2 linked regions of the Alligator mississippiensis genome follow. The protein of the gene in region 2 purifies or fractionates together with the protein of the main gene of each other region. This does not show direct contact. Links are inferred from orthologs where the notes say so. Each region holds a gene or a part of one and is shown on either strand. Other genes may lie near its edges.

Region 1 (6,937 bases), on a different chromosome or scaffold from region 2:
ATGGTAAAGGGGCAGCGGGTCAGGACCTATGAAGAGAGGCTAAAGGGCCTGAATCTATGCAGCCTCCACAAGAGAAGGCTGAGAGGGGATCTGGTGGCCATTTATAAACTCACCAGGGGGGACCAGCAGAAATTGGGTGAAGCCCTGTTTTCTCGGGCACCACTGGGGGTTACTAGGAATAATGGCCACAAACTGTTAGAGAGAAGGTTCATCAGGAGACATTACTTTATGGTTAGGGCTGCCAGGCTCTGGAACGGACTCCCAAGGGACGTGGTACAATCTCCTCCCCTGGGGATCTTCAAGAGGAGGCTAGACAGAGATTTGACTGGGGTGTTATGACCCCGGCACTCATTCCTGCCCAGGGCAGGGGGTCAGACCTGATGATCTGTTTAGGTCCCTTCCGACCCTAAGCACCATGATACTATGAAACTAAGGGTAAGCAAGCGATTACTAGACAGCGGAAAGAAACTGATAGATAAGAAAAGTTACAGGTCATCACAGAAGTAGAGTTCCATATAGTGATTATGAAGGGATAGCTAGAAATATGTAACAATATAAAGATATCCAACTGGTGTAAAAAACAAGGATTCTTTAGTGTGCGTTGTATTAATGTTTGTAACATAGAATAAAGGGGATTACATTAAGAAAGGGAAAATTATGACAAATTCAAAAAACCCTTCAAGTCAGATGCAACTGAGGATGGAACAGTGGAGGAAGAGCGGAGGAAGATCTGTTAGTTGGAGAGTATTAAAACTAAATTGGTCAAAAGAAAAAAGACAAAATGTCCAACTCTGTAGGGTTGTGGAGTTTTACTTCATGTTAATTTAAAGATTTATGAGCTTCATGTGTGCAATGAGACAGCTCTGGAAAAATGAAAATGTAAACCAATGTGTTGTGGAAAAAGTCATTATGAAAGCAGTTAGACATGAGTTCCATCTTCCAATAAGGTCCATCCACGATGTAATCTTCTGCCTTCCTCAGACAGGAAAGAGAGGGTGGAAAGTGTTAATGCTTTTTTAACCCTGAAGAGCGTGGGCAGTATGGGCTTCCTTTTTGAACTGTCAGCTCCAAAACACTAAGAATCTCAAGTACTATTTAAACCAGTGTAGCTATAACCAATGGGCAATTTCATTGTTAGCCTATATTTGTAAGTACTTGAAGAGTTACCCTCTAAAGTGAAGTTCATTATCAGTGGAGGTTTTTCAGATAAAAAGCTATAAAATTATCTCAGTCTAGTAACCAGTAATAGTTACTATGAGTAAATTGGTTACGTTCCCACTCCAAGAAGAATACTACTACTGGTGAAATATCCAGTAGTAACCAATTAACACAGTGGTGATGTGATTATCAGGAGCTGATACTAGGGATGGGAGGGTGGGGTTGCGGGGACAAGGTTTCTGGCAGGGAACTGAAACAATGCCAAATTAAACTGTAGTGGTGAATTATCCGACAGGCTAATTAACTAGAGTTTACTGTATTTCTCACTTTTAAGGGACTGCAGGTCTTCACAAAAGGGTGACATTCTGAGATGCAAAATTCATGCAACATAGCATACTGTGAAAGGGATGTTATCTTGTACTCTCCTCTCCTGAAGACTTCACATGCCTTTTTCCTTCTTTTTTGAAGGTTCTTCACTTCTCTTTGCTTGTGGACATACAAAATTTGAGTGGGTTTGGGGATGTGACTGATCAACTCTATTTCCCCTTCTACTGCTTTCTACTTGCCCCATCTCATTCATCCACCCACTATTGTTTCCACAGCTATCGCTCGGACTACCTCTCTCAAGGATCAGTCTATGCTCCTTCCTACCAGTTAAGCCCTCCAAGCTGCCTTAGCCACCAACCCCTCTGGGCCTGCTTAGATCCTTCAACCTTTCCTTCTCTTCCCAGTACTTAAATCCACTCTTTAAATCTCCTCTTTAATCCTTATTTTGGTTACAATATCCTGCCATCATGGAACTCAACCTGGTCTACTCACCTTTTCACTAAGGTCCAAAGATAAAGACGAGTCAGATAGGTGAGGTGAAAGGGGAAGAATTATTATTGTGAGGAACAACAGTGACTACAGAGAAATAGGGAGAGAAGACAACAAAGTAGCTATGGAAATGGTGAGAGGGCAGAAATTATGAGTAATTAACTGAAATCTAAAGCTGGAAATAAAGGAAAAAATATATCTTTTATTTCAGTTACCACGTGACTGAATACCCTGTCCCACATTGTAATGGTGGGCAGTTGACACACACACACACACAGACACACTGTTCACACTGGGCGGGCAACCTTTTTATCTGAGCAAGTGACCAACATTTTCCACTGATAAAATACAACAGGAAATTGCATGATAAACAATTACATTAATGCAAAAATTTGGATGAAAATTTCAACAGGAAATTCAATATTATGTTTCCCCAGCAGCCTGTATTTGTCTATGATGTCGTATGCATTTATCAAAACGAACAAACCACTATTCAAAGAAAAAAACCCAGACATCTTTACACAGATCAGGTGTAACATTTTTTCAAAATGTGTGAAGTGTGCAGGTATACATGACAGAGGTATACTGTATAGCAAACACTATTCCTACTCAGGCCCATAAACTACCAGACCTCATCCCTGTCACTAAACCATGACTGGATAATACTTCTACAGCACCTTGTATCAGCATGACTTTGGGAGGAAATTCTGTTTTGGGGCAAGGGGAAGGGAGAATAAAGTAAATTTTCTCAAAGTATCTTTTTAATGGAATGTGTTTAAAGCCGCTAGGAAGTTTGGATTATCAGTCTCAGTAAGGAAGCTGAAAGTGGGAAGTGTAGATGAGTTAAAGGAACACAGTAGGATCAATTTATCATAACTCTGGGGTCTGTCACATAACCCCTATCATCTCATGCAGAGGTATAATGGGACAGTTTTGCACCCTGGGCAGCAGTAGCATACAAGGCAGAAGCTACAACTGAGCTGCTAGCAATATAACAACCTAGAGAGCAGCAGCAATGGCTGCTGTTTTTGCACACTCCTGAAGTCAATACCTCAGGTTGGTTCCCTGGTTGCCCGCTTTTAATTAGGCTACCAATCTCAGAATTCAATACTTTATTGCTCAGGCTCAGGGTGGTGACCACTAGGCCTGCATATAAAATGCAGGAGAAATCATTACAATTTAATTTTAAAAATTCATTTAAACCTGGAACTTCTAAATATTTCCTCCGGTTCTAATTATGACTTTATATCACTGAGGTACTGTTTATGTATTGACTCCATAACTATATCTGAGCATCTATCCTCATGCACAAATGTAACACTAACTTGGTACTGTACCCTTGTGTATAAAAAATACCATACGCTCAGACTATGTACATATGATTGTAGAAAATACATGGAACTATTTCAGAGACTACTGCTAAGAGCTTGCATAACTGCATGAGCCAGAGGAATTTGTTTTATGTGTTATTTTACATGTTATTATTTTTACACGTTAGAAAGGTAAGGGAGTATTTATTAATATAAGTAGTTAATCTGTCATCTGGGGTGACAAGAAATGCAAAAGAAAGTTCCTTTATGTAGGTATTTCCTCATTTTTTTAGGTATCGCATGGCTACATTTGCACTTAAGCAAATTTAACTCAAAAGCAACAGTCTTTTTCAGGAATCCTCATGTATATACATGCACACAATACAGAGTCTAGGTACCAGTATATTTATATGGGTATCTCATGTAAATACACAACCCTTCCCACTTAAATTCAGATGAAAAGGGCTCATACAGATTTCACTTACATGCAGCAGGCAGAATATTTTAAACATGTTATTGCGCTTCCTTGTTTACTTATTTAGATTCACATATAAAGGAAGTGGTAAGCCTGACTAGCTGACAAGTTTTCTGAGAAGAGACCATTTTGTACTGAGAGGAAGCAGGGGCTCTCTTGAATGCTCTTACACCATAATTCAGAAATAAGAAGTCAGTATTTAACAAAAGAAGTTCTGAGCATGTATTAGGCAAGGAGATTATTAAACTTGCTGGAAGTGGTCTCAGACAAGAAGTCTATGCTGTTTCATCAATACTCTTGGCATGAAAATTCTGTAACCTCCTAGGAAATTAAAACTAAAATGGATTTGCGAAACATTCCTTATCGCTCAGATGTGGCTGCTTGGAACCCAGATGAACTAGCAGAGTACTTTAAAACAGTAAGTTTCACTGTGTTTTGCCCTCGAATAGTTGAAAAACAAATGACTGTAACATACTTTAAGCATGTGTGTGTGTGTACATACACACACACACATATATATAGTATGTATATGTATAGATATAGATATAGAACCCTGGGGAATCCTTCTTGATACCTCCTCTCAACTAGACATAACAAGTCTATAGATATAGATATAACCTGTCTATATATATAGATATATATGTATTACATGTTATGTCTAGTTGAGAGGAGGTATCAAGAAGGATTCCCCAGGGTTCTATCCTGGGTCTGGTATTGTTTAATATCTTCATTAATGATTTGGATGACAGGACTGAGTGTGTGCTTAGCAAATTTATGGATAACACCAAGCTTTGGGTGGAATTTCAGACACTCTGGAGGGCAAAGCTAGAATCCAGGATGACCTGGACAGACTGGAGAAATGGTACAGAATCAGTCAGATGAAACTGAACAGGGACAAGTGCAATGTCCTACACTTGGGACAGAATAACTGCATGCACAAATACAGACTTCATTACTGTAGGCTTCAGTAGTGCAGAGGCTTCAGTACTGCAGAGAAAGACCTGTGGATTACAGTAGACCATAAACTGAATATAAAGCAACAATGCGCCCTCATTACAAAACAATCCAACAGTATCCTGGGTTTGTATAAACTGGAGTATCACTTGGAAATCAAGAAAAGGGATTCTTCCACTCTATTCAGCAATAGTGAGAGGATTTACATAAATTAGTGTGCCTAGTTTTGGGCCCTGCACTTCAAGAAGGATATGGACAGTTTGAAAAGAGTCCAGCGCAGGGCAACAAAATTGATCGGGGCCTTGACAGACCAGACTTATGAGAAAAGATTGAAAAAAGTAGGGTTACTTAGCCTGAAGAAGAGGAGCCTGAGGTGGGATGGGGTGGGAGGGAGGGGGTGAAATTTGATCACAGTCATGGAATATCAGAAGGGCGATTATAGAGAGGATGGATGTAAATGGGCTCTTCTCTGGGGCTGTAGGGGACAGGACTTGGAGCAATGACCCCAAATTGCAGCAGGGGAAATTTAAGTTGGAGATTAGGAGGAACTTTTTGAGTACAGGGGTGTTCAGGCTTTGGAACAGGCTACCTAGAGAAGTCATGGAATCTCCATCCTTGGAAATGTCAAAAGCAGGTTAGACAGACACTTGGCAGAGATAGTTTAGTCAGAGATGATCCTATTTTGTGCAGGAGTCTAGCCTAGATTACCTTATGAGGTCCTTTCCAGCTCTACTTTCCTATGAGCCTACTCAGATGCACAAACGCACATTATTTAAAACAAGAGCACAATCTGTGGCACAAATAATTTCAAATGATCTTTTAGAAATCAAAACATGCCCCATAAAAAGTCATTGTATTCTATATTGATCTCATGAAGACTTTTTTAAATTCTGAAAATATATATGTTAAATTAATAGCAAAGAAACTAATAGCTTCTAAAGGAAGCAAGAAAAAAATGCTTTGTAAGGATGTCTCATTTAGTTTGGTGCTGTAAAAATTATACGCTTAACACAGTAACTCTAGTTTTAAAGGTAGAAAAGTGTTAAATGTTGGTCATATATGGTGTCTCCAGTAAGCTAATTCCTGTATCTAAATATCTTCAGTTTTAGGACCCACTATAAACTTGAGTGCATTATAAAACTGTGTTATAGCCTAGAGCTCAATTTAAAGCTATAGTACCTTGTGTTTGCTGGACTATAGGGAAAACCTGACAGGAACCCTGACACAAAGTGTTTCAGTATTTGTACTGCGATTTTTGGAAGCCTACAGAGTGTTAGATTCTTAAATTCACTAAGGATTTGCTACTCAGATCACTTATGCTCCTTTAAAAAGCCAGCCTGGAAATCCACATACCTAGCCTTTTAATGACCATAAAATGAAGCCTGCTTCTTTGTCAGGCAACACTCCCAATTAGTTCCGTAAACTTCCTTGGGACTTTCCATATGAATAAGTACTGCTCTGTCTAAGCAAGGGCGGCAGACTATTTGCCCTAGAGATTTATTCCAGTGCTTTCAGTAGATATTAATTCCCAAAGACAAATATATTTTGCTGTCTCACAACAGAACAATTCATAACTATATTTCCGCTGCTTTTTTATAAAAAAATGGAAGAAAAATTCTTGGAAGTTTTGATTCAAATAAAAAGGAGGGCAGCTTCAGGATCCAAGTGGACCTGTTCCTCACCCCAGTTCCCCCACGTATCATGTTCTCCACACTATTTCCTTAAGAGAGAGGGCCTTCCTCAGAATTCCTAGGCAGAATTTTTTAGCTACAGTAGCATTTCCTGTAATGCACTAGGCCAAAGGAGTGGAAGCCTCAAACCCCTCATTGCTTATGACCTCTTTCAGCTTAGCACTCTATAAAAAAAATTATAACATAATGGGCCAAATTCACTGCTGCTTTACATTCTGTGGAATCTTCCTGGCACTGGTGAGTTTGAACAGGGATCATATGAGTAGAGAATTTGGTTCATTCATGTTAAAAATTATATCTTTTCTCTTCCACGTATTTATTTCTCTATAGCTCTACAACGTTCCCTAATTTTTAATATTCAGCAGAAATATCCATCTGTGCTTCCATTTTAGCTAAGAATTACATTTACAAAAAAAATGAAATAAAAATCCAAAAACTTCCATCTGAAATTATAAACCAGATTGACCTAAATGTTTCTAAGGAGTTTCAAACCATATCAGCATACCTGGTCCAGTTTCAAGTGGACACGGACT
Region 2 (7,758 bases):
GCTTCTGCGAAAAGTTTAAATTTAGTAATTACCTGATTAAATTATGCCAAGAGAATTATTCAAAGTTCTGGTGTCTACAGGTAGAAGTTTTGGTAGAATGAGTTAGGATGTTTTAGAATTGTTTTACAAAGTAGGATTTCTGTCAGCTGATGAATAGGCTCTCCCCTGAAACACTGCCTCCCCCTCCCCCTTCCTCTTTTAAATTATTTTTATAATACAGTATTTACATTGTTTATAAAGATTATCGTCGGTCAAGCTCAGATGCTGAGAACCTATTTTCCAATATTCAAATATCTCTAGTGGAACTGAAGATAAAATACGCGTCTCAAAGTCAAGTAAAGTAGTAGAATATGGTATTAAAACCTTCAATCCACATTATGTTTGCTTTTACTAAAGAAAAGGCAGCACCATCCACATTGTAATGGTTAGGGTGTATGTATTTTACTCTCCAAAAATGTGCCCCCACTTCTCTAAGTAGGTGCATATATATGCACATGTATGTGTATGGACACGTATAATGGGATAAGTCACTGGCTGCTTATATAAAACAGACTCACAATTAGCAGGAAAACAGGAGTCAGGATCTTCTGGATGAAAAGAAATACATAGGACTTTGCTACTAGATGTTATTTTAGCTGCAGAAGTGTTTGTATTTATACTTTCACTGAGCTTTAGTCAGTGGAGAACATGATCCCTCATGTGCCCTCACTTAAGCCTGTCATTCTGTCCAGCAGAAGGTAGTGGTACACATACACAACAATCAGTATGTCACAGTTGGCATGCATTCTTACAAACACAATTCTCAGTTTTCACCTCCTGCTTACATTTTCATTTCAAATCATTGTCTTTGCTGACCTACTCATTTCAGCCTGAAAAGCTATGACTGAAGCCCAAGTGGATACATTTGCTTCTGATCCATCCTATTCCACTGCTCTCTTGGGTTCCGCTGCAACACCATGCAGCTACCTCCACCATTTCCATTATGAATGCGACAAACTATTTTGGGCAGTTTCCTTAGCATGAGATGACTGAAATTATCTGGCAAAGCAGAAGTAGCTTGGACACTTATAATGCTGATAAACTAAAAATAAACAGAACTATGTAAAAAAAAAGATGTCCCTCATTTAAAGTGCTGTCAGTTAAGTAGATTTGATTAGGTGGTCTTCCTTAAGAAGAGGCATATTCAAGGCAGCAAGTACATTTTACCTGGCTTATATATCAATAAGCTTATATATTGGTTCCATGAGCATTGCCTCAGAAAGATCCTTTGCATTAGATGAGAAGACCACTGAACCAATGCCAACACCCTCTCTGCAGCTACCATAGCCAGCATCGAGGCAAAGATCACGATACATCAACTCTGCTGGGCTGGTCACTGTGTATGGATATCTGACACTCATCTCCCAAAGCAAGTCCTCTTCTCTCAATTTAGTCATAGTACAAAGATCCACGGAGGACAGAGGAAGCGCTACATGGACACCCTGAAAGCACACTTTAAGAAGGGTGGCATCAATCCTACAAATTGGGAATTGCTGGCTGCTGCACCATACATCAAGCTATAGCTCACTTTGAAGAGAACTGTCTTGCTCAGGACGCGGAGAAACGGCAGAGGAGGAAGGAAAGTACACAACATCCTGGCCAACAGCTGCGCCCGCCCGAAGGCACCACTTGTCATGTCTATGGAAAAACTTGCAGAGCACAGATTGGATTCCTCAGCCACCTTAAAACTCACTAGTAATCCCCTCACTGCCCCCAGCAGACATCATCCTCCTATTGAGGGATATCGGTAAAGACCTAATTTTAACCCATTCAAGTCAATGAGAAGCCTCCTTTTGAGTTTAATCAGCGTGGGATTAGGTTCTAAGGCCCAACCTCATAATGCAATGTGAGGCACATGGAAAGACAACAGTACCTGCCTTGAGCCCTGTTGGCAGCAATGGGCAACTACAGGCTCCCTGAGCCTATGACACTGAAGGATCAGGTTGGAGCCAACATGTGCAATTCCCATACTTGAGATCTATAATCTCTATGTGCTTCTCTTTACCTACTGCTTATAAGCACTGATCATTTTAAAGCCTAAGAAGTGACAGTGTCAATTTGAAAATGACATTGGGCAAGATTCACAGAGAAACTTGGATGCCTACATTTTACTGCAGTCCCATTTTAGGCATCTAAATCCAAGAGGGCAGTTTATAGATCTCCAGCAGTCTGACTCCCTTAGGTGTTCAAGACCCCATAAAAGCCTACATTTTCACTACAAACTTTCTTAGGTGCCTAGAGTTCAGCTGCAGGATACATTTGTGTCTAAGAGGTGGGGTTGGGCTTTGAATCCCTGTTTCACATAGGTCTCTAATGGCTGCCTTGATTCAGAATATAGGGAAAATTTCAAATACACCACTCCCACCAGTATTTCCTATTGCCTGGTTAATGTGTCTGTCTACTCAGCATACTGAGTCTTCTGAAGATGAGTCCTTGCACCTAACCTTTCTCACGTAAAGTAGAAGGAACTTAGGCACCTAACCTGGGTTTGTGAATCCACCTTTGGCACCAGGCCCCTATTTTTTGGCTGAGGGAATGCTCTGTGCCATTGCACCTCACTCCCAGTGCAAACCTGGCTCTTGATCACTTGTTTTAAGAGACTCTTTAAGAGCAGCCCAATTAAAGTGATTAGAGAAAAATGCATGTTCTCTCTGAGCTTTTCTTCTTTGGGTGGGGAGGAAGCAGGGGGATGCACATTATTTGGCTTTTAACAGTACTTGGTTTGTTCCGTTAAGTTCAATAGCCTGTAGGTCAGGCTCTTCCCATCAGTTTCACCCTTTGTTGCTATCGAGCCCTCTTTCCCTAGGCCCCCTCCACAGGGTACTTACCAGCAGAAGTAGAGTTGACACTGAAACTGCTGTGCAGCAAACCAGAGTTTGGACCAGGAGAATGGGGCCGTGGAGCCCACCTAATAGATCATCATAAGGGAGTAGAAAACCCTTAAAAAAATTCAGGAGGTGTTGGTTAAACACCGTTCAGCAACTGGAATGAGATGTACCCGATACACTTCCAAAAATGAAAGTTAATGACGTCTCTGCCTCTTGATATGAAACCCTTATGCAGCGTCTCCTTTGAGAACGTATGTATCTCCCCCCACTGCCACTCCCAGGCACTGCGCTGTTTGCTGGACATGGGTGTCATTGTCACCCCCACAGCAATTACAATTACACAGGGTGCCCCTTCACCACAGCTGCACCTCCACATGTGACCATGTAGGCAAATCATTCCATCACTTATCATGTAGATTATCTGCACTGAACCACAATGCACCATTTTATGGCCCCCATACCCTGCTCCAAGACAAAAGAACCTGCTGCTATAGGGAATTTGGCAGGTTTTGCCAGGGTGAGCGGAAGGAGTCTGGGGTGATGGAGGGCACACTAGGGTATTGAGGGTAGCTGTGTAGGGACCCTGGAAGGTACCTGGCACCTGTGCTAGGGTGGAACTTGAGAAGACATAGGTGGATGTAAGCACAGTGGGGAGCATGGTGCTGCTGAGGTAGTTACTGGGAGGTGATGCTGGTTGCTTGAGTTTGGAGGGGTGTCCGGGAGGGTGGATCTACTGTAGTTAGCAAGACCTACACGATAGGGCTGCCGGTTCCCACCCCTCCAGGCTGTTTCTTTCAGCTAGGGGAGGGCAGAAGAGAGCAGAAGCTGAGCTCAGCAGCACCGCAGCAGGACCTTGTGGTAGAAGACCGGCACTGCAGAGCAAATACTTACAGCCTTCACATGGGAAGAGGTGTTGCGCCAGGACCCCACTTAGCCCCGTGAGGGTATGAGGGGCTGTTGGCTTGTCCTGCCCATGTACACAGCCCTTCTCCAAGCTGACTTCCTAGATTAACTTTAGGAGCCCCTTGATCAGAAAGCTTCACACACAAGCAGAGAAGGAACTAGGGAGGGGCAGAAGTAGCTTTACCAGAGAAGCAGAAGCTGCTCCAGTTTCTCTGCTGCAGAAATGCTTTTCCCCACATGCTGTTTCCCTCAGCAGCTGACTGGTGAGAAGGAGGTAGAGGAAGGGGAAAGGCAGGAGGAACAACTTGAATTAGCACATACTGCTGTACTTCCCCTTCTCCACTCTCATACAGCCTTCCCTTTCTGCCTGAGAAGAAAAATGTGCAAGAGAATGCAAATATTTTGCCAGAATTCATGCAAATTGTGCTGTGTCAGGGGTGGAAAGGCCTGGCTTCGGTAGCTTTCCCATGTAACTCAGACACCAAACTAGCTCTTTCCCCTGTTACAGCTGTCCAATCCCAAATTGCTAATTAATCTTATTGACTATAACAAGGTGCATGGCGCAGGGGCTGGAGCCCGGCTGCAGGGGGTTAGAGGAGGCTGGTACGCTGAGTGAAAAGCACAGCCCCTTGATAACCTCTCTCTCTCTTTCTCGGTCTGAGGAAAGACCAGAGGTTTTACCTTTTTTTTTGTTATTTGGATGTTTGCTTTTGTTGTTGCATGCTCTGTTTGCTGTGGGAGAAAGCTTTCCACATGTAAAATAAATGGACTAGAAATTGAAACTGTGGGGTGCAGACAGAATCAACAGTTTTCACCTAATCTGGCCACAGAAAGCAACTTGTAGCAGCGACCAAACACAAATGCACACCTGCAGAAAGCTTCAAAATGGCTGACTGGGTGAAAATATGACCCAGCATTGTATGAGGGATCAGATAAGCATTGTATGAGGGGTCATTTGTAACTTGTGGCTGCAGGGCTCTCAGCTTGTGGGTGTTTGCAGAATGGGGGGGGGGGAAAGGGTGTGGAGGGAGTTCAGTCTGGAGGGTTTTGAGCACCCCTTGGAGGGTGGGGTGGCGGTATTGGAGTCCCCCCTAGGAGTGGGGGGGCTCCAATTCACCCACCCCACCCTCTAGCACTGTCTGGGGTGTCCCAAGAATGAACTCCCTCCACTGCCTTTCCCCTTCCTAGTCTGCGAACAGCGAGCCCTGGCAGAGAGCAGTGGCCATTGCTATAAGAACCTGACTGCAGGCTCCCAGCCCGGCTAGATCCCCTCCCTCCTGGAACCAGCAGTGAACGTCTGTTTGGTCTGAGGTAACGTTGTGACTCAGAACGCTTTGCAGAAATCATTCTGAGTTACAGGGGCGAGCTGCACTTCTGTCTGCACCCTAAGAGCCGACTGGCCTTTGTGAGGAAACTGGCTTTTGGGCCAGAATAAAGGAGGAACGACCCGTTACAGTGACTTTCTAACAAGGTGCCACACAACCCACCTGTGCTGTGGCTCATTCAAGGTGCCCCTCAGTCTAGTTACTTTCTCTTATTCTTTGCACATTTCACCCACCTTTGGCCTGCATAGGTAAGATTTTGAAAGATGCACCTACCATGGGCTTCTACTGAAGGCAGGGTATCTTAGCTTCCTTTTGTGCTCTTTGGTTAGTTAAGCACTGGAGTAGTTTGTCAAAAGGGGCTGTGGAAGCCCCATTACTGGTCATTTCTATGTATAAGACTGTAATGGGATAGATGATCCTGCCTTGCTTGAGAAGATGGGGTTGGACCAAGTGATCTCCTGGGCTGTGTCTGGACAAGTGCAGCCGTGTGGTATGTGGCGCTGCAAACACATCTGTGGTGCCACATACTGCACATTTAGATATTCTCCACACTGCAAGGCTGTGCTGCCCATGTGTGCGTTGCTCCACTTTCTTTTCTGCCATGTTTTTTTACCCCTGCAGTAGAGGAATACAAGCATGGGCAGCACACGCCATTCAAAAGTGGAGCTGGGCCACCTGGAGTCATACCCCGGCTGCCTGCCAGGCTCTCTGCACTGGAATCACCACTGCTGCAGCCCAAGGAGGCCCTCAGGACCCAAGGTAAGACTGCTGGGTCCAGTACTGGGCCCTATCCCAGTGGTTCCCAACCTTTTTTATAGTACAGACCAGCACGGGAGTGGCGGAGCCAACTGCCTACCTCCTGGGGCTGCCCCGCTGCCAGCTTTAGCCCCACACATGACTGCTGGCAGCGGAAGCTGCTTGCTTTGGTGGACAGATGGGGGTCTGAGCAGGGGGCTCCTGCCACGACCTGGCAGCCAACCCTTTATGGCCTGCAACTGGGCCACAGCCTGGTGCTTGGGAACCTCTGCCCTACCCCGCCTGAGGTAACTTGCCGCACACCAAAGTGCGTGTGGCAAAGTGTGTGCGCGCAGGTGTTCCTTGGGGACAGGTATTGGCAGCACAAAGTGTGCCACTGCTACTTGTCCCCAGGGAACCACACATCCTCACTTGTCTGGCTGCGGCCCTGAGGTCTATTCTAGCTTTATGTTCCTCCAAAGTTTTCCCTCCGACTTCCTAGGTGAAAGGACTTCATATATAGCTCGGTTACACTTTATCCATAAACACTATCTTGAAATTTCTTGCCATTATCTTTCCCAGATATTTAACTCAAATTTGAGACATCAGCCCTATATTGTGGTGGCTGTTAATACCTAGGTCACATAACACATAAAGTGGTGCTTATATTTACTTTAAAAATATTTTAAAATAAAGAAGATTGAAGTAAATCAGAACTTTCCTGATATTTATCTTAGAAATAAGCCAAAAAAGGAATCTTAAAGACCATTCAGGGGTGAACATACAACTATCACCCTCCTGCTTCCACATCCTTCCAAAGCTATCAGTTGACCAAAAATGTTATAAACCAGAGTTAAGCTTTAAAACAGTTGAAAAATGAAGAGATGAGGGATTCAGGCAGCTCTCCACTCCCATGTAATCCTCTACTACCCTGCCATTCACCAAATCAAACCACCTAGTGTAGTTGATTATGGGGTACTTGGGTGTTATTTACTGATACCTATTGCTAGTAATACTTTGATAATTTTAGGGCTTATTCTCATGGTTTAAAACTTTAATACCTTAATTATCCTACCCAACAATAAATCTAAAAGCAACAGGGGAAATCTATACATTACAAAGTCCAGAACCTTTTCTCTTAAACTTCTTAAAATTGAAATTAACTGTTGTAATAAAATAGTCTGAATTTATTCACAAACTGCTGGTTCTGCCAAGTCCATTTCCTCAGCCAATCAAAACAGAAACAAAAACAAGAGGGAAGAACTAGCTCACATAGTCAGCTGTGATAACAGTTGCCATCTTTAGGCCAGGAGATGGCTCCATTAGCAAGCAGGCAAAAAAATGCTTGCTCTCTTTTTGAAGCGTTGGACAGCTGGACCAGGAGGTAAGAACCAATTATCGCCAGTCCTCAGACTGGATGCAATTCCTTCTCCCCCTTTTCCCCTCTTCATGAATGACTGGTGCCTCCCAGAATGACTGGGGGGCACCATGGCAGTGAGTGATGAGCGGGGACCACCTGCAGCCATGGCCCGCACCGTCAGTGGTGAGGGATGAGGGGCAAGTGGGCACTGCCCACAGCTGGTGCCGGCAGTGTCGGCAGTTGGGGGGCAGGGTGGCGAGCAGCAGGCAGCAAGCGGGGGCCCCTTGCAGCTGCCGTCTGCTCTGTTGGTGGTGTCAAGTGGCAAGCAGGGACCACCTGCAGCTGCCGACAGCTGTGTTGACAGGGGGAGGGCAGCAACCACCCCCAGAAGCCGGAAGCGGTTTCGACGGCGGCCAATCTCAGGGGGGTCCCCCCCTATGCATCGCCTATGCCCCTCTTTCTTGAACACAGAGGTGACATAAATACAGTGAGCAAGAATGTGTCTAGGATAACTTATTAAGCCTTAGAAACACCATGCCCACAAATCAGGGTTTACAGTTATTACACC

The links.
Region 1: the proteins of FYB1 (region 2) and LCP2 purify together in Homo sapiens (co-immunoprecipitation; 6 studies listed by BioGRID and IntAct, with this or other methods). This does not show direct contact. The link is inferred for Alligator mississippiensis from reciprocal best matches to the Homo sapiens genes FYB1 and LCP2.

What each region holds. Positions count from the first base shown.
Region 1 is NC_081832.1:49,569,629-49,576,565, forward strand, and holds the start of LCP2 (lymphocyte cytosolic protein 2), read left to right. Parts: upstream 1-3,871; 5' UTR 3,872-4,099; coding exon 4,100-4,177; intron 4,178-6,937. UniProt on the Homo sapiens protein: Adapter protein primarily involved in signaling pathways within T-cells, as well as other immune cells such as platelets, mast cells, and natural killer (NK) cells.
Region 2 is NC_081826.1:276,866,950-276,874,707, reverse strand, and holds the start of FYB1 (FYN-binding protein 1), read right to left. Parts: upstream 3,003-7,758; 5' UTR 2,868-3,002; intron 1-2,867. UniProt on the Homo sapiens protein: Acts as an adapter protein of the FYN and LCP2 signaling cascades in T-cells. May play a role in linking T-cell signaling to remodeling of the actin cytoskeleton. Modulates the expression of IL2. Involved in platelet activation.